3 linked regions of the Stegostoma tigrinum genome follow. The protein of the gene in region 1 interacts with the protein of each later gene in a pairwise test. Links are inferred from orthologs where the notes say so. Each region holds a gene or a part of one and is shown in the gene's direction. Other genes may lie near its edges.

Evidence for each region.
Region 2: the proteins of cltcb (region 1) and ap2b1 interact in a two-hybrid assay, tested with the Homo sapiens proteins (2 studies listed by BioGRID, with this or other methods). The link is inferred for Stegostoma tigrinum from reciprocal best matches to the Homo sapiens genes CLTC and AP2B1.
Region 3: the proteins of cltcb (region 1) and c20h10orf88 interact in binary tests that used the Homo sapiens proteins (3 or more experiments, as listed by UniProt). The link is inferred for Stegostoma tigrinum from reciprocal best matches to the Homo sapiens genes CLTC and C10orf88.

The regions. Positions count from the first base shown.
Region 1 is NC_081380.1:42,414,543-42,425,251, forward strand, and holds the start of cltcb (clathrin, heavy chain b (Hc)), read left to right. Parts: upstream 1-5,669; 5' UTR 5,670-5,806; intron 5,807-5,970; 5' UTR 5,971-6,094; coding exon 6,095-6,136; intron 6,137-10,709. UniProt on the Homo sapiens protein: Clathrin is the major protein of the polyhedral coat of coated pits and vesicles. Two different adapter protein complexes link the clathrin lattice either to the plasma membrane or to the trans-Golgi network.
Region 2 is NC_081380.1:7,250,053-7,260,584, forward strand, and holds the start of ap2b1 (AP-2 complex subunit beta), read left to right. Parts: upstream 1-5,758; 5' UTR 5,759-5,864; intron 5,865-10,532. Other genes in the region: pex12 (peroxisome assembly protein 12), read right to left, coding at 2,459-2,587. UniProt on the Homo sapiens protein: Component of the adaptor protein complex 2 (AP-2). Adaptor protein complexes function in protein transport via transport vesicles in different membrane traffic pathways.
Region 3 is NC_081373.1:28,388,484-28,398,894, reverse strand, and holds the start of c20h10orf88 (ATPase PAAT), read left to right. Parts: upstream 1-5,480; 5' UTR 5,481-5,512; coding exon 5,513-5,613; intron 5,614-7,657; coding exon 7,658-7,858; intron 7,859-9,211; coding exon 9,212-9,284; intron 9,285-9,367; coding exon 9,368-9,574; intron 9,575-10,411. UniProt on the Homo sapiens protein: ATPase that regulates mitochondrial ABC transporters ABCB7, ABCB8/MITOSUR and ABCB10. Regulates mitochondrial ferric concentration and heme biosynthesis and plays a role in the maintenance of mitochondrial homeostasis and cell survival.

The DNA.
Region 1 (10,709 bases):
AATACAGATAAAAATGAGAGCTGCAACAGATAGGACTAAAGCAGGAGAGAAGACAGATGATGGGAGCAGACAGTCTTTATAACAGAGACGATATGGGGTCAATTTTTTAACCAATTTGTTCCTGGGATGTGAGTTGTGGGTTTCACTGCCGAGATCAGCATTTATTGCTTACCTCTAATCGCCCTGCCCTAAGGGTCGAATAGGACACCAATTGTGAGTGGTGCGGTTCAACCTGAGACTGTGACTAGCAAGGGGTGGCTAGTAAACAATTTGTGGCTGCTGTCAAAGCCAATGCCTGCAGCCTGCTGACTTTTTAACTGGAGAAAATTTAGAGTGGAAGGAAATGTAGACTCATTCAGAGTTGGAAAAATGTGCAAACTCCACACAGACACCCCAAGGCTTGAATCGAATCTGGGTTCCTGTCACTACTAACCACTGTGTCACCGTGCTGCCCATTAAATGGCTACGCAATGAGCTGTAATTTTTTTTTCAAAAATGTACTTTGTTCATAAAATTTGTCAAATTACATGGCAAAACTTCTCAACTCGGCTATTACAGAACTTGCAACAAAATTCAACGTCTCCAAATGGAGTGTTCCACTTGATATAATTGAAACAGTCTTAACATTTACAAATATATTCCATGTAAAGTATACAGCACAAGATCAAAACATTTCAAATTGGAAATTACTGAAAGTGCAATGAAAACAAACTTTTCTCCAAACACTATGCTCCATGCCGAGGTGCCTCACAACAATTTCAATACCCTCGATATTCACAGTGTGCATGCCTTGTCAGGTATTGAACCTGAGGATCTCGACAGATCGCAGCCCTCATTGTATAATGGCTGAAAATGCTTTGAACAGCAACCATTCTGGGCAGCACAGTGGCTCGCACTGTTGCCTCACTGCACCAGGGACCTGGGTTCAATTCCACCCTCAGGTGACTGTGTGGAGTTTGCACGTTCTCTCTGTGTCAGTGTGGGCTTCCTCTGGGTGTTCTGTTTTCCTCCCATAGTCCAAAGATGTGCACCTTAGGTGGATTGGCCATGCTAAATTGCCCAGATGAGGTGGGTGATAAGCAAATGGGCCTGGGTGGGATGCTTTGTGGATCCACGTGGATTTGAACATTCTCTTGTGCCTCTGCAGTGGCTGCCCCAAGCTTTAGTGCATCACTCCGCACATATTCATAGACCTTGGAATGTGCCAGTTTACATCACTCTGCTGAAATCAAGTCCTTGAGCTGGAAGACTAGCAAGTTTCAGGCCGACCAAAGGAGCATCTTTTCCTGATTAGGAGCAAATTATTCAGATACTGGAATATGTACTGAAAGCAACAAATGCTGATGATCACAGTGGGTCAAACAGCATTCATAGCAAGACAGCAAGCTAATGTGTTGAGTCAAGATGACTCTTCATCTTTCACTGAGTTGATCATCTTCTAGCCCAATTGGTTTGTCTCAGTGAGGATCACTGGGAACAATCCAGGCAGTCGAGTTCTGAGCGATGGAGCTGCTCGGGATAAAAACTCTCTCCAGACCATATTTACCAAGACACATTCCGTAAGGGGGTGAACAACCATTTCTGTTCCACCACAGACACCTCAACTGCAACATACAGTGGGAGGACGAGATTCTGAGTTTGTAGGAAGGATTTGGCAGGGAGGGCCTTTCTCACATCATACCCAGCCATGCCTTGGTGCTTGTTTTTGTTAGTTCTGGCGGCGAAGTATTCTACCAAATGACTTTGACAGCTTACACATGGAAACCATCTGACAGGATCTGCCATCTCCCTTTGCCACAAGGTCGAGAGGCTGTCAGGTGAAGACCACTTCCTGAATTTTTTTGGTAGAAACTACTCCACGAGGGATAGGTGATACAGCAAAGTCCATCTAGTTTCAGTGTTCTACAACAATGTGGATGGACCCATTCTTTGTAACACCCAGGGGCAGGTAGAACCTGTAAACATTTGTATTTGCATATGAAGGGTGTGTCTCTGTGAGCATAGTCCTTCTTCAACCTCCAGATAAAGTGGAAAATATCTCAGGTGACCACTGTGGTGCAGGAGTGAAGAATGGGCCAGGCCTGCAACATTGAGAGCACAGCAACTGATGACTAGGTTCTTACCTGCAACGGAGAGGGAGCATCATTCCTCTGTACCCATGCTTTGTTTTATAACAGTTACTTGTTCACGTACCCTGGCCCCTCCAAACCATATCCGAGCATCTTCAGGTAATCTGACCCGACAATGAAGAACAAAGGTTTAGTTGGCTCAGTTCCCAAAAAGCGTGGCCTTGCTCTTTGCTCAATTTATCTTGCCTCCTGATTCAAGTTCAAATCGGTCTATTCATCGTCAGTGGAACTGAGCAGAAGATGATGACATTGCCCACCTACAGAAAAGCTCTGACCTCAGTGCCTCCACTACCTGGATGGTCACCCTTCTTATTTTCACATTCTTTTTGATTGACTTGGCAAAAGGGTTCTATCCAACACATAGATCACAGGAAAGAGCACAGCTCTGCATGACTCCAAACCTGTTAGGATTGTTTTCTGATTCCCATCCGTTGATTGAAACTGCATTACTTTTGTACAGGGCATAAACTTTAACACTCTGTGCCAAAACCTTGACCCTCTAAGATGCTATCTTTCTGGTGCAAGCCTTAATCACTTGCCTCAGTGTAATCATGACCAAACTCACAAAAGTCAAAATCAGGACACAATGAAAACTTTGGGAAAGGTTAAAATTGTATGGCCCTAAACTCCACCTCTTCCTCCATTACATTGATGACTGTATCGGCGCCGCCTCGTGCTCCCATGAGGAGCTCAAACAGTTCATCCACTTCGCCAACACCTTCCACCCCAAGTTCACCTGGACTATCTCAAACACATCCCTCACCTTCCTGGACCTCTCTGTCTCCATCTCGGGCAACCACCTAGAAACCGATATCCACTTCAAGCCCACCAACTCCCGCAGCTACCTAGAATACACCTCCTCCCATCCACCTTCCCTCAAAAATGCCATCCCCTATTCCCAATTCCTTCGCCTCTGCCACATCTGTTCCCAGGATAAGGCATTCCACTCCCATAGGTGTTCTAATTTTTCAAGGACCACAACGTCCCCCCGCAGTGGTCAAGGATGCCCTCGACCGCGTCTCCCGCATTTCCTGCAACTTATCCCTCACACCCCGTCCCCATAATAACAACCAAAAGAGAATCCCCCTCGTCCTCACATACCACCCCACCAACCTCCAGATCCAATGCATCATCCTCCGACACTGCCACCATCTGAAATCTGATCCCACCACCAAAGACATTTTTCCCTCCCCACCCTTGTCTGCCTTCTGGAGAGACCACTCTCTCCATGACTCCTTTGTCTCCTCCACACTCCCCTCCAACCCCACCACACCCGGCACTTTCCCCTGCAACCGCAGGGAGTGCTACACCTGCCCCCACACCTCCTCCCTCATCCCCATCCCAGGCCACAAGAAGACTTTCCACATCAAGCAGAAGTCCACTTGCACATCTGCTAATGTGATATACTGAATCCGCTGTACCCATTGTGGCTTCCTCTACATTGGCGAAACCAAGCGGAGGCTTGGGGACTGCTTTGCAGAACGCCTACGCTCGGTTCACAATAAACAGCTGCACCTCGCAGACACGAACCATTTCAACTCCTCTTCAGAAGACATATCCATCCTGGGCCTCCTGCAGTGCCACAACGATACCACCCGAATGTTGCAGGAACAGCAACTCATATTCCGCTTGGGAACCCTGCAACCCAATGGTATCAGCGTGGATTTCACAAGCTTCAAAATCTCCCCGGCCCCCCACCGCATCCCAAAACCAGCCCAGCTTGTCCCCGCCTCCCTAACGTGTTCTTCCTCTCTCCTGTCCCCTCCTCCCACCTCAAGCTGCACCCCCATTCCTTACCTACTAACCTCAACCCGCCCCCTTGACCTGTCTGTCCTCCCCAGACTGACCTATCTCCTCCCTACCTCCCCACCGACACTCACCTCTACAGGCTCCATCCCTGCTCCTTTAACTTGTCTGTCTCCTGTATCCATCTTCAATCGGCCTCCCCTTTCTCTCTATTTATTTCAGAACCCTCTTTCCTCCCCCATTTCTGATGATGGGTCTAGGCCTGAAATGTCAGCTTTCCTGCTCCTAAGATGCTGCTTGGCCTGCTGTGTTCATCCAGCTCCACACGTTGTTACTTTGGGAAAGGGTTGTGTGTAATGATTGACACACTGAATGACCAACAGAAGGAGTGTGGTCAAGCAGTAGTGGAAAGTTGGAGGTCATGAAGTGAAATCTCCCAGAATAGGTCATCCAGAGTTAAGAACTGTTGAGTCACAGCTTGAGTCATTGAGAGGTGATCATGTAATTTAATATCAACCCAATTTTTCTTTCTCTAGAGCAAGAAACCATTTCAGCATAGCTACATATAGCACACTGCATATCATCATATAAATGAGAAGCAGGAGTAGGTCATTCAGATCTCAAGCCAGCTCTGCCAATAAGTAAGATCATAGCTGATGTGACTGTGGTGTCAACCCAACATCCTCAACCATCCCGAAAATCATTAAGTAATGATTGATGACTTCCCAGAAAGCAAAACTGGATATGATACACTTGTTCAACTTGTACTCTTCAAAACAGATAATCAGTGTGTTAATTTCCAAGTTAATAAAATGTGAGGCTGGATGAACACAGCAGGCCAAGCAGCATCTCAGGAGCACAAAAGCTGACGTTTCGGGCCTGGACCCTTCATCAGAGAGGGGGATGGGGAGAGGGAACTGGAATAAATAGGGAGAGAGGGGGAGGCGGACCGAAGATGCTTTTGTGCTCCTGAGATGCTGCTTGGCCTGCTGTGTTCATCCAGCCTCACATTTTATTATCTTGGAATTCTCCGGCATCTGCAGTTCCCATTATCTCTGTTAATTTCCAAGTGTTACTTTTCATTGCTAAGCTGATTTGTTCCTTCTGGGAAATTAGATGGGGACTCGAGGGAAATAAACTTGCCCGGTTATGAGGCTACGGTAGAGGAATGAGACTGAAGTGCTCTGAGACAGTCATCATGGAGCGAATGGCCTCCCCGTACCTTAAGTGACTTCATCATTCCATGGAATGTCCTCTGTTCCAAAAATTAAAGACTGGGACATGAAAGATAAAATCTACTTCATTTATTTGTATGAACTCACACATACACTTTTTTTTGGGGAATGCACTAATTTTATTGCTGGAATATATTTTAAAAATCTCCAAAAGGCCGAGAGAGAGGACACAACAACCTTCCCTCCATCATTGCAGATACAGCAGGGCCAGCCTTTGCAATGAATGAGGAGCTGAAGGCGGAAGGTGGAGAAACCCGGAAGCCCAGGCGGAAGTGATGCTTAATCATGTGCCAATGATGTGGCCGCCCGAAGGAAAACTCTCCGCCGACCGAAAAAAGTCCCATTTCCGCCCACCCCCGCTTCCCAGTTTTCGCCGTCAAATCTGAAGGGGGGCGGTACCCGAAAGACCAAGTTTTACTCGTATATGGTTGCAATGAGCGAAGGGGTGGACGGGCGTGTGGGGGTTGTCTGTTGTTTTTTTTAGTTACACAGCGGGTGGGCTTGCCGAAGTGACCCCACCCCCCCTCACCTCGCTTTGATCTGACGGTCTGGGTGGAGGGGCGTGTCACCGGGTGCAGGGGTAGCGCTCCGCCGTTTCCGGTTTTCCGCCATTGCGGCTCCCGCTGCGGCTCCGTGGGGGCCCCGTTGACGGTTTATAAAAGGGGAGGCGGGCGGCAGGAAGGGCAGCAGCTTCAGGTGAGTCTCTGAGAGGGCGTCTCCTCCCTTCACGGTGATAACGGGCTTTCCCCCTGACCCCCTTCCGTCTGAGGGAGGGGTTTTTGGAACATTTCCCTCTTGGCTGATGTCATTCGATGTAGAAATAATATTTTTTTGTATTTATTATTTCTCCCCCCACACAGATCCGCACTTACTCGCCTCTCTCTCTCTCTCTTCCCTGGCTGGTTTTTTATTCTCTCGCCGGAGGATCTCGGTGTGTTTTTTCTTTCCTTTTGGACCCGCTGAGCGCCAGCGTCGTCTGTCGACATGGCTCAGATCCTGCCCATCCGCTTCCAGGAGCACCTGCAGGTAACTCGCTCAATCAGTCCGTCAGTAAACGATGACTTTTTTTCTCTTTTTTAACTTAACTTTAAACAAAAAATTTTAACACCCCCCCCCCCCCCCGCCCCTGCATCTCCTGACCTCTACACCTTCTCTCTTCTTCCCCCCCCCCCCCCCCCCCGTAACATGGGCCTTCGCTTCAGACCGAGCCCTGGGTAAATGTCATCCCCACCCGCATACAGCGCTCCCGTCTCTAATCTTCGACCCCACCTCCCTCCCGCCTGTAGATTATTCCTAATCCCCCCCCCGGATTTGCTTCTCTCTATATATCTCTCGTTTTGCAAACCTACCCCCCCCCCCAATTTCGCCGTAATTTTTCACTTTGAAATATTATCGGTGGGGGTGGAGGTTCAACCTTGGATTACACCGTGGCACCGTTTCACAATGTCGCCCGTATGAGGAAATGTGTGAATGCTTGCACGGTTTATAAAAAAATCTTGTCTTCTTTAACCCCACCCCTAGTTTAAAGCTCTACCTTACTGCAGGCCTCGAATGCTGATGGTGCCCATCTCATTTAGTTTTTTAATAAATTGGAGTGAGTTCAGGCTATGAATGATTTTTTTTGCCAAATGGAGCCTAGTGCAGATGTTTCTAATGGTAACAGTACCAGGCTTCCACCCCACCAATGTTTGCCTGTCTTTTAATCTGAGGTGGAAGTGGGACAATTGCTTAATGACCCTTCAGTGTTTTAAACTGAAATTTGAGTTCTTGTACTGTAAATAACTTGTTTTATATGTGCAACCCATGACCATGTTCTCAGCTAGCAGTGAGACAGTTGAACTTTTTTCAACCAGTTGTAACTTTGCTTGTAATTTTTAATGTTGAGTTATGCTTCCAAAATGGGCTTGATAGTGGCTCAACTCATCAATTAAGATATGATCATTTTAAACGTTTGGTTTGTTTGTACTTAGTGGTGTCTTTAGCTGTAGATATGTTGGATTCTTGAATAGAATTGTTTGTATTTATCTTTAATTCCTATGTAGTGTTTCTCAACTTTGTTTCATAGTTTGTGTATTTTTCACACTTGGTATCTAAATACAGTTGAAGATGTTAGAATGCATTGGTTTTCCAGTAACTTAACAGGTATTAAATTGGGCAACTAAACAGTGGGTTCTTCAGTTGCTAACTTACCCTAAGTATCACTCTTTATAAATTAGCCTGTTTAAAGTTACATTCCAACTGACTTACTAGTGGCATTTTTAACAAATTTAACTGGGTGTTACTTGAGCTGGTGACATAGGAGCATGGAATGTGAAAAAGCAAGGCTTTCAATAACTATCAATGCCCTGCCAGGGAAAATTGAGTTTATCTTGCTCTCCCTTAAAATTGACATCATATTCAGTTTGATCTGAAAGTTGACTGACAGTGTTTAAACTGTCACTTGCCTCTTACAGTTTATAAACAGGTGAGTGGGCAAGCAGGAGACTGTGTAAATCTGTAATAAAGCACTTTTGTGTAGATGTGTCAATCTGCTTTCTCCTTGGAGGTGCTAAATAACCAGCTGCCCATACCGCTAAAACATGGGTCTGATTTGTAACTAGTCACGTGTTTAGAACTTGCCATTCTAAGCTATGGGGTGTTGTTTCTATGGGAAACTAGTTTAATTTGGTTAAACTAAATTTGTAGTGATGCTTCATACCATTGCTCCATGTTGAAACATGGAGCAAGAAATAGGTAACTATGAAGGTGTACAGTACAGCTGGATGAACACACCAAACCGAGCAGGAAAGCTGACGTTTCAGCTCAAGTCTTCAGGGGGGATTTCTGATCAAGGGTCTAGGCCCGAAACATCAGCTCTCCTGATGCTTGGCCTGCTCTGTTCATCCAGCTCTAAACCTTGTTATCTCAGATTCTCCAGTATTGGCAGTTCCTACTATCAAGTCAACTATGAAGTTCTTTGCTAAGAACATCACTTCGGAGGATCAGACTTCTACCCTGGAGTGTCTACGCATGCATCCCATGATACTTTAACTTTAGTTTACTAAGTACTGATAACTAAATTTCAAAAATACACAAGCTTACTCAATTCAGACTTGCACAATGAGGTCCAAAGGGCTGCTGCTAGGAAGTGATTAGAGAATTTGATCTAGATGCAAAATCCATGCAGTTATTTAACAAATAGGTTTTAGCCATCATGTAATAGCCTAAACCTCCTGTAAGTTGGTTGATGCAGTATTGATCAACCAATACTGCATTCAGTGAGTGATAGCACTTATATTTGCATACTGTTTGATACTGTATAATGTCCCTTCTGACCCTGATCCCTTGCATTCTAACTGCAGTCAATGAAAATCTTAAATTAAGTTACTTTTGACCTCCCTCCTTTCTAATTTAAATTAGAATATTTCCAACATGGAGACTCTAGCCTTTTTAACAGCAGACAGCAAATTACTGTTTGAGACTGACTCCTTAGCAGGAGAGGGCTTGCAAGGGTATCGAATGCCCTTGTATGATATTCAGTCTTAAACTGTTTCCAATGTTCAAAGAATACTGCAACAGGTAGTGATCACTTTTTCAACTGATCAAGTTGTGGATTGCAATGTGCTAATCTAATCTCAGGCTAGAATCACCTTTTTTGAAGATCTTTAGCAGTGCTCTGTATAACCAGAAACAAGAGTAGAAATGGCTGGAGAAAGCCTGCAGGTCTGACAGCATCTGTGGGAAGAGTGTAAAATTGTGTAGCACTCAGTCTTGTGTAGCTCGTGATTGGAATTGAACACTTATGCAAATTTTCATCCTGTACTTGGAGTGCCCTTTGGTTTTGCAGCCTCCTTAGCTTGAGGCAGTTCACAAGCCAGGCCCAGCAAAATGAATGCTGGCCTTTGCCAACAGTGCTTTTCTCGCTAGAGCTACCACTTGAAAGGAGTATTCTGATCTAACTCCTACACTTGCCAAAAGGAGGCAAATTGCTTCTAAGCAAGCGACTCTTTACCTTTGCTGTAGTTACTGGAATTGTTGACAGTTGTCCTATTAAGTGAGCCTTGCTGAATTGTAACCACTTGTATTAAGTACCTGGTGTGGGTAGCAGTAGGAATGGTTGCATCAAGTAACAGACTTCAGTTGTAACTGGCTTGCATCAAGCTACAATGTTTTGTAGCTAAACAAAGCTGTATGATTTGACCAAAAACTTTGCCACCTTTTCCTGTATTGTGTTCAACTTTGCCTTGCTTTGTATCACCAGTCCATCATGCTACTGTAAACTGCTCAGTTTAAACAGCTTTTCCAAGGTACATAGCTATAGTTTGTTGGCTCTATTTATTTAATCTGTACCAGTGTCACCTTTCCAAATAACTGTCCTCTGAACCTTCTCTGCCCCACCCTCACCTTTTTAAGGCTTATTTTAGCCAAGAGCTTTGTCTACTTGTCGTCCCTCTTTCAACAGCCTTCATGTCTCTCCTCATTGTTTTGATCACTCCAAAATAGCAGTTGGGATGCCTTGAGGTTGCACAAGATGTAGGTGAGGTCACTCCTGGAGTGTGGTGTACAGTTCTGGTCACATGCCTTGTAGGAAGGGCATTAAATTGGAGAACATGTAGAAAAAGATTAACAAGGACTTTACTTGGTATGGAATATTTGAGTTCTGAGCTTGGATAGGCTGGAACTTTGCTCCGTGGAGAAATGGATGTGTTGGGGAGGGGAAACAGGTGGTGTGACCTTGTAGAGGTCTGTCAACCATGAGGGGCCTAGAAAAGGTGAATAACAACAAAGTTCCTTTGTCTAGGGTAGGAAAGTTTGCAACTTGAGGCATATTGGAGACTAGGGAAGTCTTCTTGCTTTAAAAGAACCTGGGGGTGATACCAGAAGGTGATTGGTACATGAATGAAGTGGTAGATGTTCAAACTGTGTATGTGCCCATCCAGTGAATTGCATGAGTTAGGCTTGGATGAACCAAACAAGTAGGGCTAGTTTGGGGAAACTTGGTCAGCATGTTTTCAACCTGTATGATTCTGCCTGTTACACCTTTATTTCGAGCCTGGGCCAGAGTCAGGCTTGTGACAATCCTCCTTAATAGAGGTGGTGTCGAGCTGGATGAACACAGCAGTCCAAGCAGGAAGGCTGATGTTTCAGGCCTAGACTCTTCAGAAATGGGGGAGGGGGCTCTCAAATAGGGAGAAGGGGAAGGTGGATAGAGAAGGTAAGTGGAGATTGTGACAATCCTTTCCTGCCTTGACAGTTCTGGAATTTCTTCAGTCCTGATAGGTATGATACAACCTGCTGTGCAGGACCAAATGGGTTCCTTATCACTTTTTTCTTTTGGTTTATTTGCATTCCACTTTGGGTCTAAGGTGCGGTATGTTCCTTGACATGCACCCAGTACATCTCTGCAGGTGGTTATACTTATTGTAATGTGATGCTAGATTGTTCCCTTATCAGGGAAGAAATGTAAAAGCATCAATACCTGCACTGTACACTAAGCTTGACTGACTACAGGCAAACTTTGCCATTGTCAATAGGCAATTTGAGTTGATGTAGTGCATCGCCTGTCATGTGACTGGTGTTTAGGTTTTACTTTTTCCTACTGTAAAATGTTCTAAGACTT
Region 2 (10,532 bases), about 35 Mb from region 1:
CTGTCAAAACATTGTGCCTTGTGCCAGGATGTCAGTCAGTAGACTGACTGTCAGAAGTTAGTATTGCTCATTTCCACATAGGTATCTTAGCATCCTTAAAAAGTAATATGAAAGATCACGGAAATGAGATTGGAGGAAAGCCAATATAGACCAGTTAACCTGGATTTTTGTGCATTTTTAAATTCTATTAACATTAAGCACCCCTTTATTATTTGCCGTCACACTATGGCTTTTAATCCCCTCCTCTTCAGGAACACCCAGTTATCTATGGAACACATTGACTTCAATTTTATTCCCTGATATCTTACTCTACAGTTATATTTACGTCTTTTAGAAATATGTTCTTCCCTATTCCACTTCTCAGTGCTGACTTGCAAACGTACTAACTTATGTTCCCTTTCCCCAGTGGACAATTTGTTTGTCTCTGTATATATATATATTTTACAAAAAATATAATGGTGCACATTGTTAGAATTCAGTAACATTCAGGGTCTTAAAAAACACCACACACCTTGCATAATTTCAAATGAAATATCACTAAATGCTTTTCACAAAGAGCTCACTGGTTTGCATTTTGCTAATCCTGTCTAGATTACAGTACAAATTTAACCCTGTGTGAAAACGCGACTGTGCATACAGTGAATGGGGTATCCTGGCTTCTAGCATCAACTGTCGCATTCTTAGAGACATACAGCATGGAAACACGACCCTTCCATCCAACCAGTCCACGCCGAACATAATCCCAAACTAACCTAGTTCCATCTGCCTGCTCCTGGCCTATATTCCTCCAAATCTTTCCTGTTCAGGTATTTATCTGAGTGTCTTTTAAATGGTGTGACTGTGTTCACATCCAACACTTCCTCAGGAAGTTCCTTCCACATGCAAGCCATCTTCTGAAGTAAAAAAAATGTCACCCCGTGTATTTATTAAAATCTCTCTCCTCTCACCTTAAGATATGCCCCATTATCTTGACAACGCCCATCCTAGGGAAAAGACACCTACCATTCATAATCAAAACCTAACACTGTCCCTTACCTCAGCACTGAACACGTACAAGAATCAGGTGAAAACAGAACCAATTGGTGTGTAATACTCCCTAATGAAATGAAAAGTCCTCAAATGTTCAGATATGTTAAGGGCAGCTAAAGAAAGTGTTTGAATCCATGATTTCCAAAGCAGGATACCACTGGAGTTTTACTTCAACCATTTCTGGGCATGTTGCAGATTTGTTCATCGGGATTCGTTGCTAAGATCAGTCAACTTCATTATTGCGACAATAGTGTTAAATGGGCCATATTTCTATTTTGACTCCTGAATGGTGTGTTCGTCTAATGATTATGTGCACAACTGGAACCTATGGGATTATATTGAAGAGTAATCTCTTTTTTTTATTTCCATGACTCAATATAGACTCGCATTGCTGAGATCACAACCATGCAAAAACTATCAACTGAAGTTCAGGTTAAGCTCGAGTACAGCATCTTCATTTCAATTCCATTAAAACATACTTGGTCCCTGTGGGATTAATTTAAAAAGAATCCAGAGAATAAACATACATGGTTCACTCAATTCTGATTCGACAAGTGGCTTGATGTTCAATTTACACTTCCTTCATTTCCCTCTATCAGAGATAGTAGGAACTGCCGATGCTGGAGAATCTGAGATAACAAGGTGTGGAGCTGGATGAACACAGCAGGTCAAGCAGCAGCAGCAGGAAGGCTGACGTTTCAGGTCCGGATCCTTCTTCAGAAATGATCCAGAAAGGGTCTAAACTGGAAACATCAGCCTTCCAGCTCCTCTGACGCTGCTTGATCTGCTGTGTTCATCCAGCTCTACAGCTTACTGCCTCCCTCTGTACCACATTGGTCAACACAGCTGGAGAATCCAGTAGCTTAAAAGTACTGTCAGAATCAGAGAACATGTGAGAGATAATGGGAACTGCAGATGCTGGAGAATTCCAAGATAATAAAATGTGAGGCTAGATGAACTCTGAGGCTCTGATGAAGGGTCTAGGCCCGAAACGTCAGCTTTTGTGCTCCTGAGATGCTGCTTGGCCTGCTGTGTTCATCCAGCCTCACATTTTATCATCAGAGAACATGTGAAGCAGGTTTACACCATAATTCCTAACTGTGAATCAAGGGTGAATTTGCACTTGCAACAACATGTGGAAGACTGACAAATAATGCTTTTGTCTTTAACATTGTGGTTCTAGTCAAGAAAGAAAAGGTCGTTATTTTTCGGAAATGAGTTGAAGAGTGAGTCACCTCTGGGTCATCTTCGACCGAAGTACCTGACTCTGGGCCTCCATCCGGAGGCGCTTTCGGCCTTAGGCCAGCCTGCAGCCCTTGCTCCTAACCCCCTGGGACAGCGGCAGCTGCGCCTCCGATTCCAATCCGCGGAGGCGGCAAGGACCCTCTGCCTACCCTTCCTCCTGGGGAGGGCACGGTACGAGCCTCACCTTGCAAGCATGTTGCGCGGCGGGTCTGACCGCCGACATCAACGTGTCCTGAGCAACCACCTCAAAGATGGACGGCCGGCCCGGGCTGACAGCCAGGCCGCCCGTTAAGTGAGCACCGCGCTCCGCCATGGCCGCACCGTCTCCTGGGGCAACCGGCGGATGACCCCACCCACCGCGTGATCCGAGACGGAATAGGGCCTGCCCACCACGGCGCCCCGCCTATCCGCTCGCCGCGCCCTCGGAGGCAACCCCGCCCACTGAGAGGACACCGCCACGGCGATGCTCCGCCCACTGGGTCGCCGCGCAACCCCAATGCACGCGCCCGACAGTGCTGCCGCGCCCACTCAAAGGCACGGAGCTGCTCTACTCCGCCCATTGACGTTCCGCGCCCGTAGTGAAGCCCCGCCCACCTAGTCGTCCCACGATAGCACGTGGTCACTGCAGTTTAAGGAAGTGCAGAGACAGTGGGACTCGGTGAACTTCAGGTAGTGCAAAGGTGGGAGGTCGAGAGTGTACCTGACTCCCTACGGCTTGCTGTTCTACACTACCTAAGTCCCTACTTGTAATTGTGTAAGATCTGCCCTTGTTTGTTTTACCAAAATGCAATACCTCACATTTATCCACATTAAACTTCATCCGCCACTCCTCAGCCTGCTGACCCAAAAGATAATTTGTAATCTTAGATAACCTTCTTCACTGTCTACAGTACCATCAATTTTAGTGTCATCTGTGAACTTAATTACCATTTAATCATTTAAATAAATGACAAACGAAAGTGGACCGAGCACCGATTCCTGTGGAACACCACAGGTAATGGACACGAAAACAAAGTTGCTGGAAAAGCTCAGCAGCTCTGGCAGCATTTGTGAAGAAAAAGAACAGAGTTAATGTTTCGGGTCTGGTAACCCTTCTTCAGAACTGGTAAAGTGCAAAGAGTCTGATAAATAACTCTCCGCCACCACTCTGTGCCTCCTGCCAGTTTTACATCTAATTGGCAAGCTTTCTCTGAATCCCATGTGATCTCACTTTACTAATTAGCCGATGATGCAGAAACTTGTCAAAGGCTTTTCTAATGTCCGAGTAAACAACATCTACTGCTCTGCCCTCATCAACCTTCTTGGTTACTTCCTCAAAAAAACTCAATCAAGTTTGTGAGACGTGATTTCCCTCGCACAAAACCCATGCTGACTATCCCTAATCATTCCTTGCCTCTCTGCATGCACGTAAATTTTCTTTCAGAATCACCTCCAACAACTTACCCACCACTGAAGTCAAAATCAAAGGTCAATAGTTCCCGAGCTTCTTCATACATTCCCTTTTAAACAAAGGCACATTAGCCACTCTCCAATCATCCAGCACTTCACCCCATAGTTATAGATGACACAAATATTTCCGCAAGGGGCTCCTCAATTTCCTCCCTAACTTTTTACAACATCATGGGATACATTGGAACAGATCTTGAAAATTTATCCACCCTTTATATTTTCTGAGGCCTCCAGCACTTCGTTTTTGTAATGTGAACTGTTTTCAAAACATCAATATTCATTTCCTTTCTTTCATTTCTTTCTCCACTGACACAAAACATTCATTTAATATCTCTCCTATCTCCTGAGATTTAACACAAAAATGACCTCTGATCTTTAAGTGTCCCTACTGTCTCTCTATAGCTCAGGTAAATACAATTCAGAACCAGACAGAATACAGAATGTTCAGAACTGACAATGCAAAACCAAACATGAGGAGCAACAAAGGATTATGAGAAAATATTTGCAGGTAATATAAAAATAATTATTAAAATCTTCTACAAATACATCAATAGTAAAAGGGTTGTAAAAAGGGGAGTAGGACCAACTAAGGATAAAAAAAGAGTTGACACTTAAGAGACATTAGGCATGGCTGGAGCGAATAATGAATGAATACTTTGCATCTGTATTTACCAGGGAGGCAGATACTGCCCAGGCCACGGTGACAGAAGAGGGAACTCAGTCACTCAAAGGGTTTGAAATTAGTGAGGTGGTATTGGATAAGCTATTACTACTTAGACGTGATTAGGCCTTGGGATATTGAGGGAATGGAGAGTGGAGATTGCAGAGGCGCTTTCAATGATCTTTCAGTCTTTCCTACATTCAGTGACGGTGTATGGTTGGAGAGTTGAAAACTTCATGCCTTTGTTGAACATTGTTGTTTAAGTCAGTCCACTGATTACAGAACACTCCATTTAACTCTAGTGATGAAGAAACATGTAGAAGCAATTATTTGGCATAGAACGACTCACCACAATGAAAATGTGCATTGGTTTGGAGGACTCAATATGGATTTATTAAAGGACAATCTTGCCAAAGTTACTTGCTGGAGTTATTTGAAGAGGTATCAGAGAGGATTGATGATGGGAAAATTGTTGTGGTATGCACAGACTTCCAAAAGGCATTTGATACAACACCAAGCAACAGTTCTGTGAGGAAAGATACAGAACAAGGGAAAAAAAAGTCAGTAGCAACATGAATACAAAATTGTCTGTAGAATAGGAAACAAAGAATTTTGGTTAATCGGTATTTTTCAGGCTGGAAGGTGGTTTGTAGTGGACTTCTTCGTGGATTGTTATTAGAACCCTTGCTTTTCCTGATCCATATCAACGATCCAGATCTTGATGTGCAGGGGACAATTTGAAAGTGTCGTGGATGACTGAAAATTTGGAAGAATTGTAAACCACAAGGAGGTCAGTGTAGAACTTCAAAAGAACATAGATAAACCAATGGATTGCGTGGATAGGTAGCAGAAAGTTCAATGCAGAGAAGTGAGAAGTAATGCGCCTTGGTACAAAGAACACTGTTCTAAAGGGAGCACAGGAACAGAGAAACCTGGACGTTATGTATGTAAGCCGTATCTGGTAGGACAGGTGTAGAGAGCTTTTAATAAAACTTACATTACTTTCGGCTGAATTAATAGGGGTATAGAGTACAGGAACAAGACGATAATGAAGAACTTGTGTGAGACATTGGTTATAGCTTAGTCGGAGTGTCTTTGATTAAAACGAATGAAGAATGTCAATCCTTTAGTGGAGAAAAGGTTTACGAGAACATTTCAATTGATGGGATACTTCCGTTATGAGGAAGGGGGGGAGTGAAGGGTCACCCGGGGGAGGGGGAAGCGGTGATGGTTCACCCCGGGGGGGAGAGGAGGGACCACCCCCGGGGAGAGGGCGGAGGAACTGAGGGGTCGAGACACAATCTCTGTCTGTCTTCAGGCTCCTTCCTCCTGCTCTGTCCGTTCCTCCCCCTGTTCCCCCGCCCACATCCGGCCCGGCCTCCCCGGGACGGTTTTTCCGGGTACACAGTGCCTCTCCCACTCTGGGTGGTTCCATCTCTGCTCTCTCCATTTCCCCGGCTTCATCTCGGGAATCTCACAGGTCGGTCTTTTCACCCGTAAACCTCTCTCTCTGTGTCTGCAGCTCCCGTCTTCAGGCCTCGCTCTTCACAGACTGTGCCCACTGCCTTCACCCTCATCCCGCCTCCTGACCATCCCCGGTCCCGGCCATCGCCCAATCGCTTCAGACCCGCTCTCTTCCCCCACCCCCCGACTCCGCACCCCAACTCCCCTCCCACTCCAAGCCCCCGACTATCTCCACCCCCCCCCACCCCCCCCCCCACCTCCCCCCCACTCCCCCCCCCACCCCCCCACCCCCCCCCCACCCCACCCCCCCCCACCCCCCCCACCCCCCCCCCACCCCCCACTCCCCCCCCCACCACTCCCCCCGCCACTCCCCCCCCCACACCCCCTGCCACTCCCCCCCCACACCCCCTGCCACTCCCCCCCCACACCCCCCTGCCACTCCCCCCCACACCCCCCCCCACACCCCCGCCACTCCCCCCCCACACCCCCCCCCACACCCCCCCCCACACCCCCCCCACACCCCCCGCCACTCCCCCCCGCCACACCCCCCCACACCCCCCGCCACTCCCCCCCCACACCCCCCGCCACTCCCCCCCCACACCCCCGCCACTCCCCCCCCACACCCCCCCCACACCCCCGCCACTCCCCCCCCACACCCCCGCCACTCCCCCCCCCCACACCCCTGCCACTCCCCCCCCCACACCCCCCGCCACTCCCCCCCCGCCACACCCCCCGCCACTCCCCCCCCACACCCCCCGCCACTCCCCCCCCACACCCCCGCCACCCCCACACTACCACCCCACTCCCCCACACTACCCCCCCACTCCCCCACACTACCCCCCCACCCACCCGCCACTCCCCACAACCCCACCCACCCCCCCCACTCCCCCCACCCCCCACTCCCCCCACCCCCACCCACCCCCCACTCCCCACACCCACACCCACCCCCCACTCCCCACACCCACACCCCCCCCCCCACTCCCCACACCCACACCCCCACCCACACCCCCACTCCCCACACCCCCACCCACCCCCCACACCCCCACCCACACCCCAGCCATTCCCTGCCACTCCCCACCCACCTCCCACCACTCCACCCCCCACTGCCCCGCCATGCCACTCCCCAACAACCCCCCTGCCCCGCTATGCCACTCCCCAACAACACCCCCACCCCCCCGCCACGCCACTCCCCCACCCACCCGCCACGCCACTCCCCACCCACCCGCCACGCCACTCCCCACCCACCCCCCGCCACGCCACTCCCCACCCACCCCCCCGCCACTCCCCACCCACCCCCCCGCCACGCCGCTCCCCCCGCCACTCCCCACCCGCTCCCCCCGCCCCCCCCCACCCGCCCCCCCCCGCCACGCCACTCCCCACCCGCCCACCCCGCCACGCCACTCCCCACCCGCCCACCCCGCCACGCCACTCCCCACCCGCCCACCCCGCCACGCCACTCCCCACCCGCCCACCCCGCCACGCCACTCCCCACCCACCCCCCCGCCACGCCACTCCCCACCCACGACCCCTGCCCCCCCACTCCCCCGTCGCGCCCCCCCCCCACTCCCCCGTCGCGCCCCCCCCCACTCCCCCGTCGCGCGCGCCCCCCACTCCCCCGTCGCGCCGCCCCCCACTCCCCCGTCGCGCCGCCCCCCACTCCCCCGTCGCGCCGCCCCCCACTCCCCCGTCGCGCCGCCCCCCACTCCCCCGTCGCGCCGCCCCCCACTCCCCCGTCGCGCCGCCCCCCACTCCCCCGTCGCCCCCCCCACTCCCCCGTCGCCCCGCCACGCCACTCCCCACCCCCCCACCCCCCCCCACTCCCCCCCCACTCCCCCCCCTCCCCCCCCACTCCCCCGCCACCCCCCCCCACTCCCCCGCCACGCCACTCCCCACCCACCCACCACCACGCCCCCGCCACCCACCCCCACTCCCCCCCCCCACCCACCCCCACTCCCCCCCCACCCCCACCCACCCACCCCCACTCCCCCCCCCACCCACCCACCCCCACTCCCCCCCCCACCCACCCACCCCCACTCCCCCCGCCACTCCCCACCCCCACTCCCCCCGCCACTCCCCACCCCCACTCCCCCCCGCCACTCCCCACCCACCCACCCCCACTCCCCACCCACCCACCCCCACTCCCCACCCACCCACCCCCACTCCCCCGCCACCCACCCCCACTCCCCCGCCACCCACCCCCACTCCCCCGCCACCCACCCCCACTCCCCCGCCACTCCCCACCCACCCAGCCACCCCCCACTCCCCACCCCACCCACCCCCCACTCCCCCGCCACTCCCCACCCACCCACCCACCCCCCACTCCCCACCCACCCACCCCCCCACTCCCCACTCCCCCCCCACTCCCCACCCACCCACCCACCCACCCACCCCCCCACCCCCCCACCCACCCCCCCACCCCCCCACTCCCCACTCCCCCCGCCACTCCCCACCCACCCACCCCCACTCCCCCGCCACGCCACTCCCCACCCACCCCCACTCCCCCGCCACGCCACTCCCCCACCCACCCACCCCCACTCCCCCGCCACACCACTCCCACTCCCCCGCCACTCCCCACCCACCCACCGCCACTCCCCCCCCACTCCCCCCCCCACCCACCCCCACTCCCCCCCCACCCACCCCCACTCCCCCGCCACGCCCCCCCCCACCCACCCCCCACTCCCCCGCCACGCCACTCCCCACCCACCCACCCCAACTCCCCCCGCCACGCCACTCCCCACCCACCCCCACCCACCTGCCACCCACCCCCACTCCCCCGCCACGCCACTCCCCACCCACCCACCCCCGCTCCCCCGCCATGCCACTCCCCACCCAAGCCCCCACTCCCCCGCCACACCACTCCCCACCCACCCCCCCCACTCCCCTGCCACGCCACTCCCCACCCACCCCCCCCACTCCCCTGCCACGCCACTCACCGCCCACCCTCCCCCACTCCCCACCCACCCTCCCACACTCCCCACCCACCCTCCCCCACTCCCCACCCACCCTCCCCCACTCCCCACACTCCCCACCCACCCTCCCCCACTCCCCACCCACCCTCCCCCACTCCCCACACTCCCCACCCACCCTCCCCCACTCCCCACACTCCCCACCCACCCTCCCCACCCTCCCCACACTCCCCACCCAACCCCCCCAACACTCCCCACCCACCCCCCCCACCCCCCCCACTCCCCTGCCAAGCCATACCCCACCCACCCCCCCACTCCCCTGCCACGCCACTCCCCACCCCCCTGCCACGCCACTCCCCACCCCCCCACTCCCCCGCCACGCCACTCCCCACCCACCCCCCCACTCCCCCGCCACGCCACTCCCCACCCACCCCCCCACTCCCCCGCCACGCCACTCCCCACCCACCCCCCCACTCCCCCACTCACCCCCCCACTCACTCCCCCACTCACCCCCCCACTCACCCCCCCACTCACCCCCCCACTCACCCCCCCACTCACCCCCCCACTCACCCCCCCACTCACCCCCCCACTCACCCCCCCACTCACCCCCCCACTCCCCCACTCACCCCCCCACTCACCCCCCCACTCCCCCACTCCCCTGCCACGCTACTCCCCACCCACCCCCCCCACTCCCCTGCCACGCCACTCCCCACCCCCCCCCCACTCCCCTGCCACGCCACTCCCCACCCACCCCCCCCACTCCCCTGCCACGCCACTCCCCACCCACCCCCCCCACTCCCCTGCCACGCCACTCCCCACCCACCCCCCCCACTCCCCTGCCACGCCACTCCCCTGCCACGCCACTCCCCACCCACGCCACTCCCCACCCACCCCCCACTCCCCCGCCACGCCACTCCCCACCCACCCCCCCCCACTCCCCCGCCACGCCACTCCCCACCCACTCCCCCCACTGCCCACCCCACTCCCCCCCACCCCACTCCCCCCACCCCACTCCCCCCCCACCCCACTCCCCCCCCACCCCACTCCCCCCCCACCCCACTCCCCCCCCACCCCACTCCCCCCCCACCCCACTCCCCCCCCACCCCACTCCCCCCCCTCCCCACTCCCCCCCCTCCCCACTCCCCCCCCCACACCACTCCCCACCTACTCCCCTGCCACGCCACTCCCCACCCACTCCCCCCACTGCCCACCCACTCCCCCACCACCCCCCAACTCCCCGGCCACGCCACTCCCCACCCACCCCCCCCACTCCCCACCCACCCCCCCCACTCCCCACCCACCCACCCCACTCCCCACCCACCCCCCACCCACCCCCCCCACACCCACCCCCCCCACTCCCCACTCCCCACCCCCCCACCCCCCCGCCACGCCACTCAACCCCACTCCCCCGCTGCGCCACTCCCCCTGCCACTCTCCCTGCCCACCCCGCGCTCCACGTGCCCGCGCCCCACTACCCCGGCCGCCCCCCCCCCCCCGCGCCCCACTACCCCGGCCGCCCCGACCCCCCCCGCCCCCCCCACCCCGACCCACCCCCCGCGCCCCCCCCACCCCGACCCACCCCCCACCCCCCGTGCCCCCCCACCCCGACCCACCCCGACCCTCCCCCCCCCACCCCCCCACCCCCCCCGCTCCCCCGCCCACCCCCCCCGCTCCCCCGCCCACCCCCCCCGCTCCCCCGCCCACCCCCCCCGCTCCCCCGCCCACCCCCCCGCTCCCCCGCCCACCCCCCCCGCTCCCCCGCCCACCCCCCCCGCTCC
Region 3 (10,411 bases), on another chromosome or scaffold:
CAATGCTATCCACCGCTCAAGCGTGTTCTACCAATCAACTAGATCATGATTCATCGGTAAGGTCAGTGTGTTTACCATCTGTTTTGTTCCTTACCACCGTTCCCTATCACTGTCATTTTGTCCAACTGTAAAATTTAAAGTACTCTGTATTCCTCTAATTTTATCCTCTAGTGCACTTCTGATTTCCTTTGCTTCACTATTGGTGTCTATGTCTTAAGTTGCTTGGGATCTAAGTCTGCAATTCCCTCTCTAAACCTCTCCATTCCTGCATCTTTCACTTCTTATTTCAGATGCTCATAAACCTATCTCTTTGGCTAACCTTTTTTTTAATCATCAGTCTTAATATCTTCCAAGGTGGCTCAGTATCAAAATTTGTTTGGTATATTGTTGTAAAGTGCCTTGGAACATTTTTCTAAGTTAAAAATGCTACATAGGAGCAAGTTGTTTTTATTATTGCAGATACCCTTACCTAATGACTCAATACCAGGCTTGTACTTTTAAACTGACCACAACTTTATGGGAAACATGATTCTGGAGATTTAATTCTCAAAATTGAACACAGATCACCAGATCAGATCTGTCTGTAGCTCTGTGCAACCGAAATATAGTTGCGTACTTTTGAATTCCTAAACCTCTTCAAATATAGGTTAACAGACCAATATCCTTGTTGGTTTCTTTTTGTATTTGTGCACATTTGTATTCGATATTTATGATGAGAATAGAAAATCCCATTGTTCCAATTCAGCTTTTAGTCTGTCAACATGAAAAAATATTCACATTCTTATTTCTTAGATTCAAAGCGGATGATCAAATATCTTTGCATCTACCGTAGTTTTGCCCAATTCATCTAGATGATCTCTATTCCTAACTTATCATCTACACAATTTACTGTGCCTTCAAACATCCTGGGTGGGGGGAATGGAGGCTGTATTAATATGAAGAGTTTGGGTTACAGCCCATGATAATCTTAGAGTAGTGAGAGTATTTCCTCAAGGAGAGAGTTGAACAGTGCTTTACATCAATGTCTATCAAACTGGGTTCCACAGACAACTGGGGTCTTATAGAGGTCTGCAAATTAACTGAACAGTAGACAAATGGTTGTCACATAGAAGCCTGGTGTAGCTAGGGAACAGGAGCACTGCCTGGTTGCCATGCACATGGCACAAACAGGGATGGCGGTGTGTCCTTGGAATGAAGCGCACTAAGAATTATTGAGAATGGCGGAAGAGCACCAGAAAACCTGCAGTCACCAAGGTTGGTAGTTGTTTAATGGCGAGATTAAAAGTCATTTATGTGGTTTATTTTAATGTCACATTTCTTTTTTTATGGAGTTTGCTCGTTTATCAAATTGTCATGTTTGTGGCTTCCTGTCAGAACTGAAAAGTTCGAGACGTAATGACATTATGCAAGCCCAAAACAAAAAAAATCTGATCCACTGGGTAGAAAGATGCCAGAATTCTTGGGTATTGATTTTACAACAGGTAATGACAGATTCTAAGATAGTAGAAACTGCAGATGCTGGAGAAGCATCCTTAGAAAAAGCTTCACAGTGGGGTTAAAATTGTTTTAGAGATAGTAGGAAATGCAGATGTTGGAGATGCTGCTTGGCCTGCTGTGTTCATCCACCTCTTCACCTTGTTATCAATGATAGTTTCCAAATTGGGTTTAAGCTGATCTGACATTGTTGTTGTTGGATCTGAAAAGGTTAAGACCTACTTGCACCACTCACTGTGATGTTGTTGTGGGGATTTGGTTGGAAGTAAAGTAGGATTTTGTGCAAAACAGATGTTTAACTGATCATCCTAAAAGTTAGTGTAATAATGTAGTGTTTATTATTACGTGTAGATAGTTGCAGAGATGTAATGAACTATGTATTGTTTAATGTACACAATGCTTCTTATAAGACTGGAAGTGTCTATTGTCACATTCACTAAATGGTGTCACCCCAAAGAACCCACACACATAGAAAATATGAATGTCGGAGTATATATCATACAACAGCAAGGCGAGACCTGGTTACAGAGTGGTGTTAATGCTGGTATTACACCAGGCAATGACAAGTTTCTGAGCTTTGGAATTGCTGATATTACACCAAGAAATGATTGGTTTTCAAGTTTTTTTTAATATGGATATTACATCAGGTAATAACTGGTCATTGAGTTATTTAAATACGAATATCATACGAGACAGTGACTGCTCACTGTGTTGAGCTAATGCTAATATTACCCCAGCAGTGACTGGACATGAAGATGCATTAGTGCTGTTATTACACCAGGCAGAGATTGGTCACTGTGTTGAATTAATTATGTTAATACACCAGGTGGTGACTGGTAACTGAGTTGAGTTAATGTTGATATTGTACCAGGCAAAGCTGCTCACTGAGTTGTGTTGGTGTTGGTATTACAGCAGGTAATGCTGGTTAATGCAATTCACTGAGCTGTTACGATCAGAATGCCTCTGACAAAGGAGCTGCATAGGAGGCTGCTGAATATGATAACACCCCATAGTGTTGGGGTAAAGTGCTGGCATGGACAGAGGATTGGCTAAATGGCAAAAAACAGAGAGTGGGGATAAAGGAGTATTTTTCAGTATGGCAGCCAGTGACTATTGGAGTTCCACAGGGGTCAGTGTTGGGACTACAGATATTCACGTTACACATTAACCATCGAGTCAAAGGAACTGAAGATTTTGTTGCTAAGCTTGCAGATGACACAAAAGTAGGTGGAGGGACAGGTAGTGTTAAGGAGGTGGGGAGACTGAAGAATGAGTCAGACATGTAGGCAAGACAGCAAAGACATGGCAGATAGAACACAACGTGGCAAAGTGTGAGGTTATTTATTTTGGTAGGAATAAAAGAGCCATAGACTATTTTCTATTTGGGAGAAGTTTTGGAAATCGGGAGTGCAAAGATACTTTGGAGTCTTAGTTCAGGATTCTCTTAAAGTTAACATGTAGGTTCGGATGACGATTAGGAAGGCAAACACAATGTTGGCATTGATTACAAGAGGGCAAAAATATAAGAGCAGAGATGTCCTGCTGAGGCTGCATAAGGCTGTGGTCAGGCCACATATGGAATTTTATGAGTGGTTTTGGACCTAAATCTAAAGAAGGATGTGCTGGTTTTGAAGTTGGTCGAGAGGAGGTTGACAAGAATGATCCCAGGGATGAAGGGCTTGTCATATGAGGACTGGTTGAGGACTCTGGGTCTGTACTCAATGAAATTTAGAAGGATGGGAGGGATCTGATTGAAACTTAAAGGGTACTGAGAGGCCTGAATAGAATGGCCATGGAGAAGATATTTCCATTGATCGGACAGACTAAAACCTGAAGGCACAGCCTCTGGATGAAGGGAAGACCCCTTAGAACTAAGATGAGGAAGAATTTCTTCAACCAAAGGGTGGTGACTCTGTGGAACTCATTACTCCAGAGGGCTGTGGAGGCCAAATTATTGAGTGCATTTAAGACAGAAATAAGTAGGCCCTTGCTTAGCAAAGAGATCAAGGGTTATGGGGAGAAGGCAGGAAAAATGTATCAGCCGTGATCAAATTGAGGAACTGATTTGATGGGCTGAATGGCCTCATTCTGCTCCTATATCTTATGTCTTATTATGTCAGATAATGCTGCTCACTGAGCCTTGATGGTGCTGGTATTACACCAGGGAAAGCTGCCCACTGAATTATGTTATTACTGGTATTTCATCATGTAATCCTGGTTAACACTGCTCCCTGAGATGTGTTGGTGCTGGTATTACAGTAGGTAATCCTGGTTAACATTGCTCACTGAGCTGTGTTGGAGCTGGTTTACGCTGCTCACTGAGCTATGTTGGTGCTGGTTAATGCTAATTATTACTGGTCACTGAGAGGTGTTGGTGCTGGTTCACGCTAGTTAACCCTGCTCCCTGAGCTGTGTCCGTGCAGGTTAGTACTGCTTAACCGTGCTCCCTGAGCTGTGTCGCTGCTAGTTAACCCTGCTCTTTCAGCTGTGTCGGAGTTGGTTAACCCTGTTCCCTGAGCTGTGTTGGTGCTGGTTAATGCCTGTTAATCCTGCTCCCCACACAGTGTTAATGCTAGTTAGTGCTGGTTAACTGTGCTCCCTGAGCTGTGCTGGTACTGGTTAATGCTTGTTAATGCTGGTTAACTGTGCTCCCTGAAGTGTGCCAGTGCTGGTTAACTGTGCTCTCCACACTGTACCATTGCTAGTTAGTGTTGGTTAACCATACTGCCTGAGCTGTGCCAGTGTTAGTTAGTGCTGGTTAACTGTGCTCGTTAACCATGCTCCCTGAACTGTGCTGGCACTAGTTAGTGCTGTTTAACCGTGCTCCCTGAGCTGTGTTGATGCTTGTTAACCATGCTCCCTGAGCTGTGCCGGCGCTAGTTAGCGCTGTTTAACCGTGCTCCCTGAGCTGTGCCAGCTCTAGTTAGTGCTTGTTAACCATGTTCCCTGAGCTGTGCCGGCACTAGTTAGTGCTGTTTAACCGTGCTCCCTGAGCTGTGTTGATGCTTGTTAACCGTGCTCCCTGAGCTGTGCCAGCGCTAGTTAGTGCTGTTTAACCATGCTCCCTGATCTGTGCCGGCGCTAGTTAGTGCTTGTTAACCATGCTCCCTGAGCTGTGCCGGCACTAGTTAGTGCTGTTTAACCGTGCTCCCTGAGCTGTGTTGATGCTTGTTAACCGTGCTCCCTGAGCTGTGCCGGCACTAGTTAGTGCTGTTTAACCGTGCTCCCTGAACTGTGCCGGCGCGAGTTAGTGCTGTTTAACCGTGCTCCCTGAGCTGTGCCGGCGCTAGTTAGTGCTTGTTAACCGTGCTCCCTGAGCTGTGCCGGCGCTAGTTAGTGCTGTTTAACCGTGCTCCCTGAGCTGTGCCAGCGCTAGTTAGTGCTTGTGAACCGTGCTCCCTGAGCTGTGCCAGCGCTAGTTAGTGCTTGTTAACCATGCTCCCTGAGCTGTGCCGGCGCTAGTTAGTGCTGTTTAACCGTGCTCCCTGAGCTGTGCCAGCGCTAGTTAGTGCTTGTTAACCGTGCTCCCTGAGCTGTGCCGGCGCTAGTTAGCGCTGTTTAACCGTGCTCCCTGAGCTGTGCCGGCGCTAGTTAGTGCTTGTGAACCATGCTCCCTGAGCTGTGCCGGCGCTAGTTAGCGCTGTTTAACCATGCTCCCTGAGCTGTGCCGGCGCTAGTTAGTGCTTGTTAACCATGCTCCCTGAGCTGTGTGCCGGCGCTAGTTAGTGCTGTTTAACCGTGCTCCCTGAGCTGTGCCGGCGCTAGTTAGTGCTTGTTAACCATGCTCCCTGAGCTGTGCCGGCGCTAGTTAGTGCTTGTTAACCATGCTCCCTGAGCTGTGCCGGCGCTAGTTAGTGCTGTTTAACCGTGCTCCCTGAGCTGTGCCGACGCTAGTTAGTGCTGTTTAACCGTGCTCCCTGAGCTGTGCCGGCGCTAGTTAGTGCTTGTTAACCGTGCTCCCTGAGCTGAGCTCGCTGGCCAGGGAGTGCGGCTGCGCGCTGTCAGTTTCCGGCCGGGGATGGAGCGGGTCTCGGTCCGAGCCGCTTGGCCGTGCGGCCTGGGCCGGTTGCGGGTCTCGGTCACTGAGTGCGATTCGGATGATGGAGAGGTCGCTGCCTGGTAAGGGGGAGATCAGGGATCGGTTCGTGGTCTCTGCGGGGACCCGCCGGATCAGGGCCCCGCTCGGTGGGGAGACTGGGCCGGAGCCCTACTCCCACTCCGGGGAAGAGGGGTGTGTGCAGGCCCGGCGTTAGTGTAGTGCATCCAGCCCCTCACTGCCTCCTTCTATCGCGAGCCACTGGACTATAGACAAAACGTAGACACTAATACAAATCTTTTTAAAAAGACTGATCCGCTGTTTCTTCTCATTGTGGATTTGATTTTTTTAAACAGAGTCTTGCTATTGTGAGTTTATTTCGCCGCCGCTGATGCCACAAATACCGTCAAAATGCCTATGGTATCCCTTAGAACCATTGGCTATTTAATCGTTAATCTGAATGTAGGTGGGACTTACCCATGGAATACCCACCACAGCAGATTCTGTAGGCATTGCCTGGGGAAGCTGAATTTTCCACTCGCCCTGCTTAAGTGGCAGACCGCAGACGGTTCTGGTGAAATTAAGTAAAACTTACTTGGGCAACGTTGTGACGATTAAATTCATAGCCTAACTCCCAGCTCCTGATGGCTGACCCATCTTACTGCCTGTGGTGGTGCTGCTGAGTACTTTGGCTGCTTGTCACACATGACTGATTGAAAATCCAGATGTTGTTAAACAACTTTCCAGATTACTAGCACACAATAAAATTGGATAATAGACATAAATCCTGGGGTTTATTATCTTTATCTCCATTCATTGGTGGTAACAAATACACTTTAATGTTTTGTCTTTTTGGTAACATAATAAGCAATGTGATTTTGATGATTGGTCAGTTCTTTGTGATATAAAGTGATGTTAAATGTAGTCTACTTTTGCTACTCTCAAGCCTTGTCTGCCATTCAGTTAAATTATTGCTGATCTGCTGCCTCAATGCCACTTTGCTAAGCTATTCCCATATTACATTATGTTTTAAATATCAAAACAGCCATTACTTTCTGTGTTGAATGTATTCAATAATTGACCTTCCACAGCCCTCTGGAATACAGAATTCTGAAGATTCATCACCCTCTGAGTGCAGATATTCTCTCTCATCCCTATCATAAATGGTCCACCCCTTATAATGAAACTGTCTCTGGGTTCTAGATTCACTGGCCAAGGGAGGCTTCCCACTGACAATTACCCTTGCTCGTTTCAGATAAATCCCTGGGGCAGGCTGGATAAGAGTAACTTTAATGCTTTCTCTAGCAATCTTTTAAATCGCCTCCATTGACCTAATGCAGACTTTAACTTTTGTTAGCCATGTTTGACTCACCCTTTTTGTTGGTTTTGATGTCTTAGGGGAAGGTATATTTATGGTAAACATGTAATATTTATTTAAATATTAGCTATTACTTGCTTACCTTAAATATTTTCATATATTTTCCCATTCCACCATAGTAACTTATTCTCAAAAGAACTAGGAGGAGGAATAGGAAATTCAACTCCTTGAGCCTGTTCCACCATTTAACACAACCATGGTTGATCTCATCTCAGCTTCAACTGTCCTTTCCTGACTGTTCTCTAAAACTCTTCAACCCTATGCTAACTAAAAATCCATCTATCTCCTTAAATTTGCTTGACGTCCCAGCATTCCCTCTTGTCTAGGGTTGTGAGTTCCACAGATTCATGACCCTTTGAGAGAAGTAATTTCTCCCATCTCAGTTTTAAATCTTCTACCCCTTAGCCTAAAACTATGACCTCATGTTCTAGATTGCCCCATTTAAGGAAACATCCTGTTTATGTCCACTTTGTCAGTCCACTTCAATATATACCTCAATTTAGGTTTCCTCTGAGTCTCTAAACTCCGGGAGTACAATTTTATTGAATTGCAAACGGCATGTCGTAATTGTGAAGTATTTGATTTAATCAGTATTCAATTTTCACTTCATTGAAAATGTTGTGGTATACCAGAAATATAACACTATTTGAGATGGAAAGACGAAAAGAAAATTACAATAGGCTATAACTTTGAAATAAAATGTTTTACTTTAAGTTAAAGGTGACATTGTTCCCTTTGTTATGATTCAGTGCAGAACTTGTTACTTTGGAACGGCCTCAAACCAATACTGTGGAAACTCCATGTATACTCTATCTACGGTTCTCTCCTCAACAACCTGCTGACATAGTCTTTGTAGAGGTATGGAGCGAAGCAAGAATGATGGAGGTTTACACAGGAGAGTACTGCGGAACAAGCCGTGGCCTAAGACTAGACAACCTACATTTAAATGGGTAACGTTGTTTTAGCTCGCAGTATTAACCTCGAATCGGCAGTCAGCAGACTAATAGAGTTTGTAAAATATCAGCTGAGCACTCTAAATGATTATTATAAATTTTGCCATTAGTTAGATTCTTCTGATATTTCTCAAAGGTCCAATTCACTGCCTTTTAAATTCTCTAGTACACTGCCTATGAAACAACCAGAATGTCATTTAAAAAAAGACCATCTGACCTACTAGTGCTGCTTTTGGGGGAAAAAAATCTGTCATCTTTAACAGTCTGGCTTGTGTGATTCCAAATCCATTGCAATATACTTGATTTTTTTATGCTGTCTGAAATGGCTAGCAGACCACTCAGTTCCAGACAAATTCTCACAACCTTCTTGAGGACAATTAGGGCTGAGCAAGAAATGCTGACCTTATCAGTGTTGCCAAAAACACACACAGTAAAATAGGTCCACTTGCAGCTATGTGTAGGAGGATACAGTGGTTTATAGGAAGCTGTTTTTCAGTGTACAGTTCCATTAACAGATTGTTTACATTTAATGACATATTTGTTACTGTTAGACAATGGTTTGGTTTAAGGGGTGATGCTATGTGATTGTGTTTAAAGATCGAGACTAATGCTGGATAGTTTTGCTGTGCCTCCAAAAAGGTGATCACAACACTTCCAAATTTAGGCCTATTTAATAATACTAGTGCCCTATATACACAGTCCAAATTCCTTTGCTGGCTTTAACAACCAATTTTGCATCTATGTCAGTACAGGTTTAAAAAAATAGTCAAGGGAGAGACATTTCAAAACTTAGTCAAAGAACCATGACTCTTCGTTTCCAATATTGACAGATCTTGCATAGAGTTCTTTTCCTGCAATTACTGATTTAGATTCCAACAGCAGCTACTGTGATAGAATTCTGTCTCCAGGTAGGAGAACCAACACTAACTTATGGGAACATTATCACATGTTAGGCAAAAGACTAACAGTTTGGTATAATGCTTGGATTTGAAGGGATGTCTTAAAGGAGTAAAGAGAGGATTAAGGAGGAAATTCCAGAATTTAGGTCTGGAGTGGCTGAAGGTACAGCCACCATTGTGACACAATTAAGCTTAAGGCTCTCAAGAGGCCAAAATTATAGAAATGGAAGTATTCAAAGCATTTTGGTACTGTTCTGAGAATATGGAGCTAGCGAGGGGTAAGACCTCAGCAGGATTTGCAAAGAAGGATGACAGTTCACTTCAGAGAAACAGGGATCACTATGGTTGCAATTGCTGTCCTGGAACTATTGACATTTTGAATATATTTATTTTATATTTTGTATATATCTTTTGTCACTAAGAATGCATCTGTGTTTAAATTGCCTTTCAGTGACCATGAACAAATCTGCTTATTTAAGAAGTATTTTAAGTTGGATATTCCTAGTTCATCCTGTGAACTAAAGGTAATTTGTTGAGTTATTTTTGTTTTCTTTGCACTCATTGTGTTTTACTCTTGTGAATCTTCTGACTAATATCCTATTTTTAGCTGCTGTCTTTAGGTGGAAAGGAGAAAGTACGAATTGGTAAAATATTGCTGGGAATAAAAAATGCTTCAGTTGGGATCTCGAGAGGCTTTTCTCCATTAGGAAAAAGCATCGACATGGAACGAGTACAAACGATGATGGATTCAATGGGAGCAAAGCTGTCACCTGGAGCTCAGCAACTCTTTAGCATGGTCCAATTTCAACAGAAGGTGAGTAATGCATTGGTCAGCATAAAGACTTGAAAAAGACATGCTGACTGCAGTAAAATAGAGTTCAAGTTTTTATAACATGCAGAAGAGGCCTTCTGACTCATTATGTCCATGTCAGTCGGTGAACATCCATCTATTCTAATTCCATTTTCAGCACTTGGCCCATAGCCTTACTTACAGCAGTTTCCTGTTTCAGAATTATAAATACCGGCTCTGGACTTTCATCACTGGACATTTTTGACTCCATGTCCTTTGAGATATTCTATAAATCTTTAGGCCATTTGCACTAATATTGCTTTATTTGGTTCAAGATTTACTTTTGTTTTATAAACCTACTGTGAAACACTTCAAAACATTTTATTATTTTACAGACACTGTGATTTTGTAAACATCCAATAAAGACTACGACATGCCTGAACACACAATAATTAAATACCAAGATACGATTAAGAAATATAATGAGTCTGTTGAATTTTAGCTTGGTGAATGATTCCCCATGAGATTTGCATTCTATTCTTCACGACATAAACTGTCTGTCAAACAGCTGCGTTGCAAGCTTGGTAGTTTGTATTTTTATATAAGACTAATTCAGTGTTTACAGATCAATAATATGAATGGTACTGTGTGTTACCTATGGCTGTATGCTAATAAAGACAGTATCTTGAATATGATGGATTATGTTAGAGGGATGTGAGAGTCCTTGACCTTTGATAGCTCAATTGGAAAATGCTATATCTAACTGATGCCTACAGCCTTAAGGCTCTTCGTGTGATTTCTGGTCAATACAGAGATATCTGATCTCGACTTTGGTGATTACAATTGGCCTTGGTGCATCTG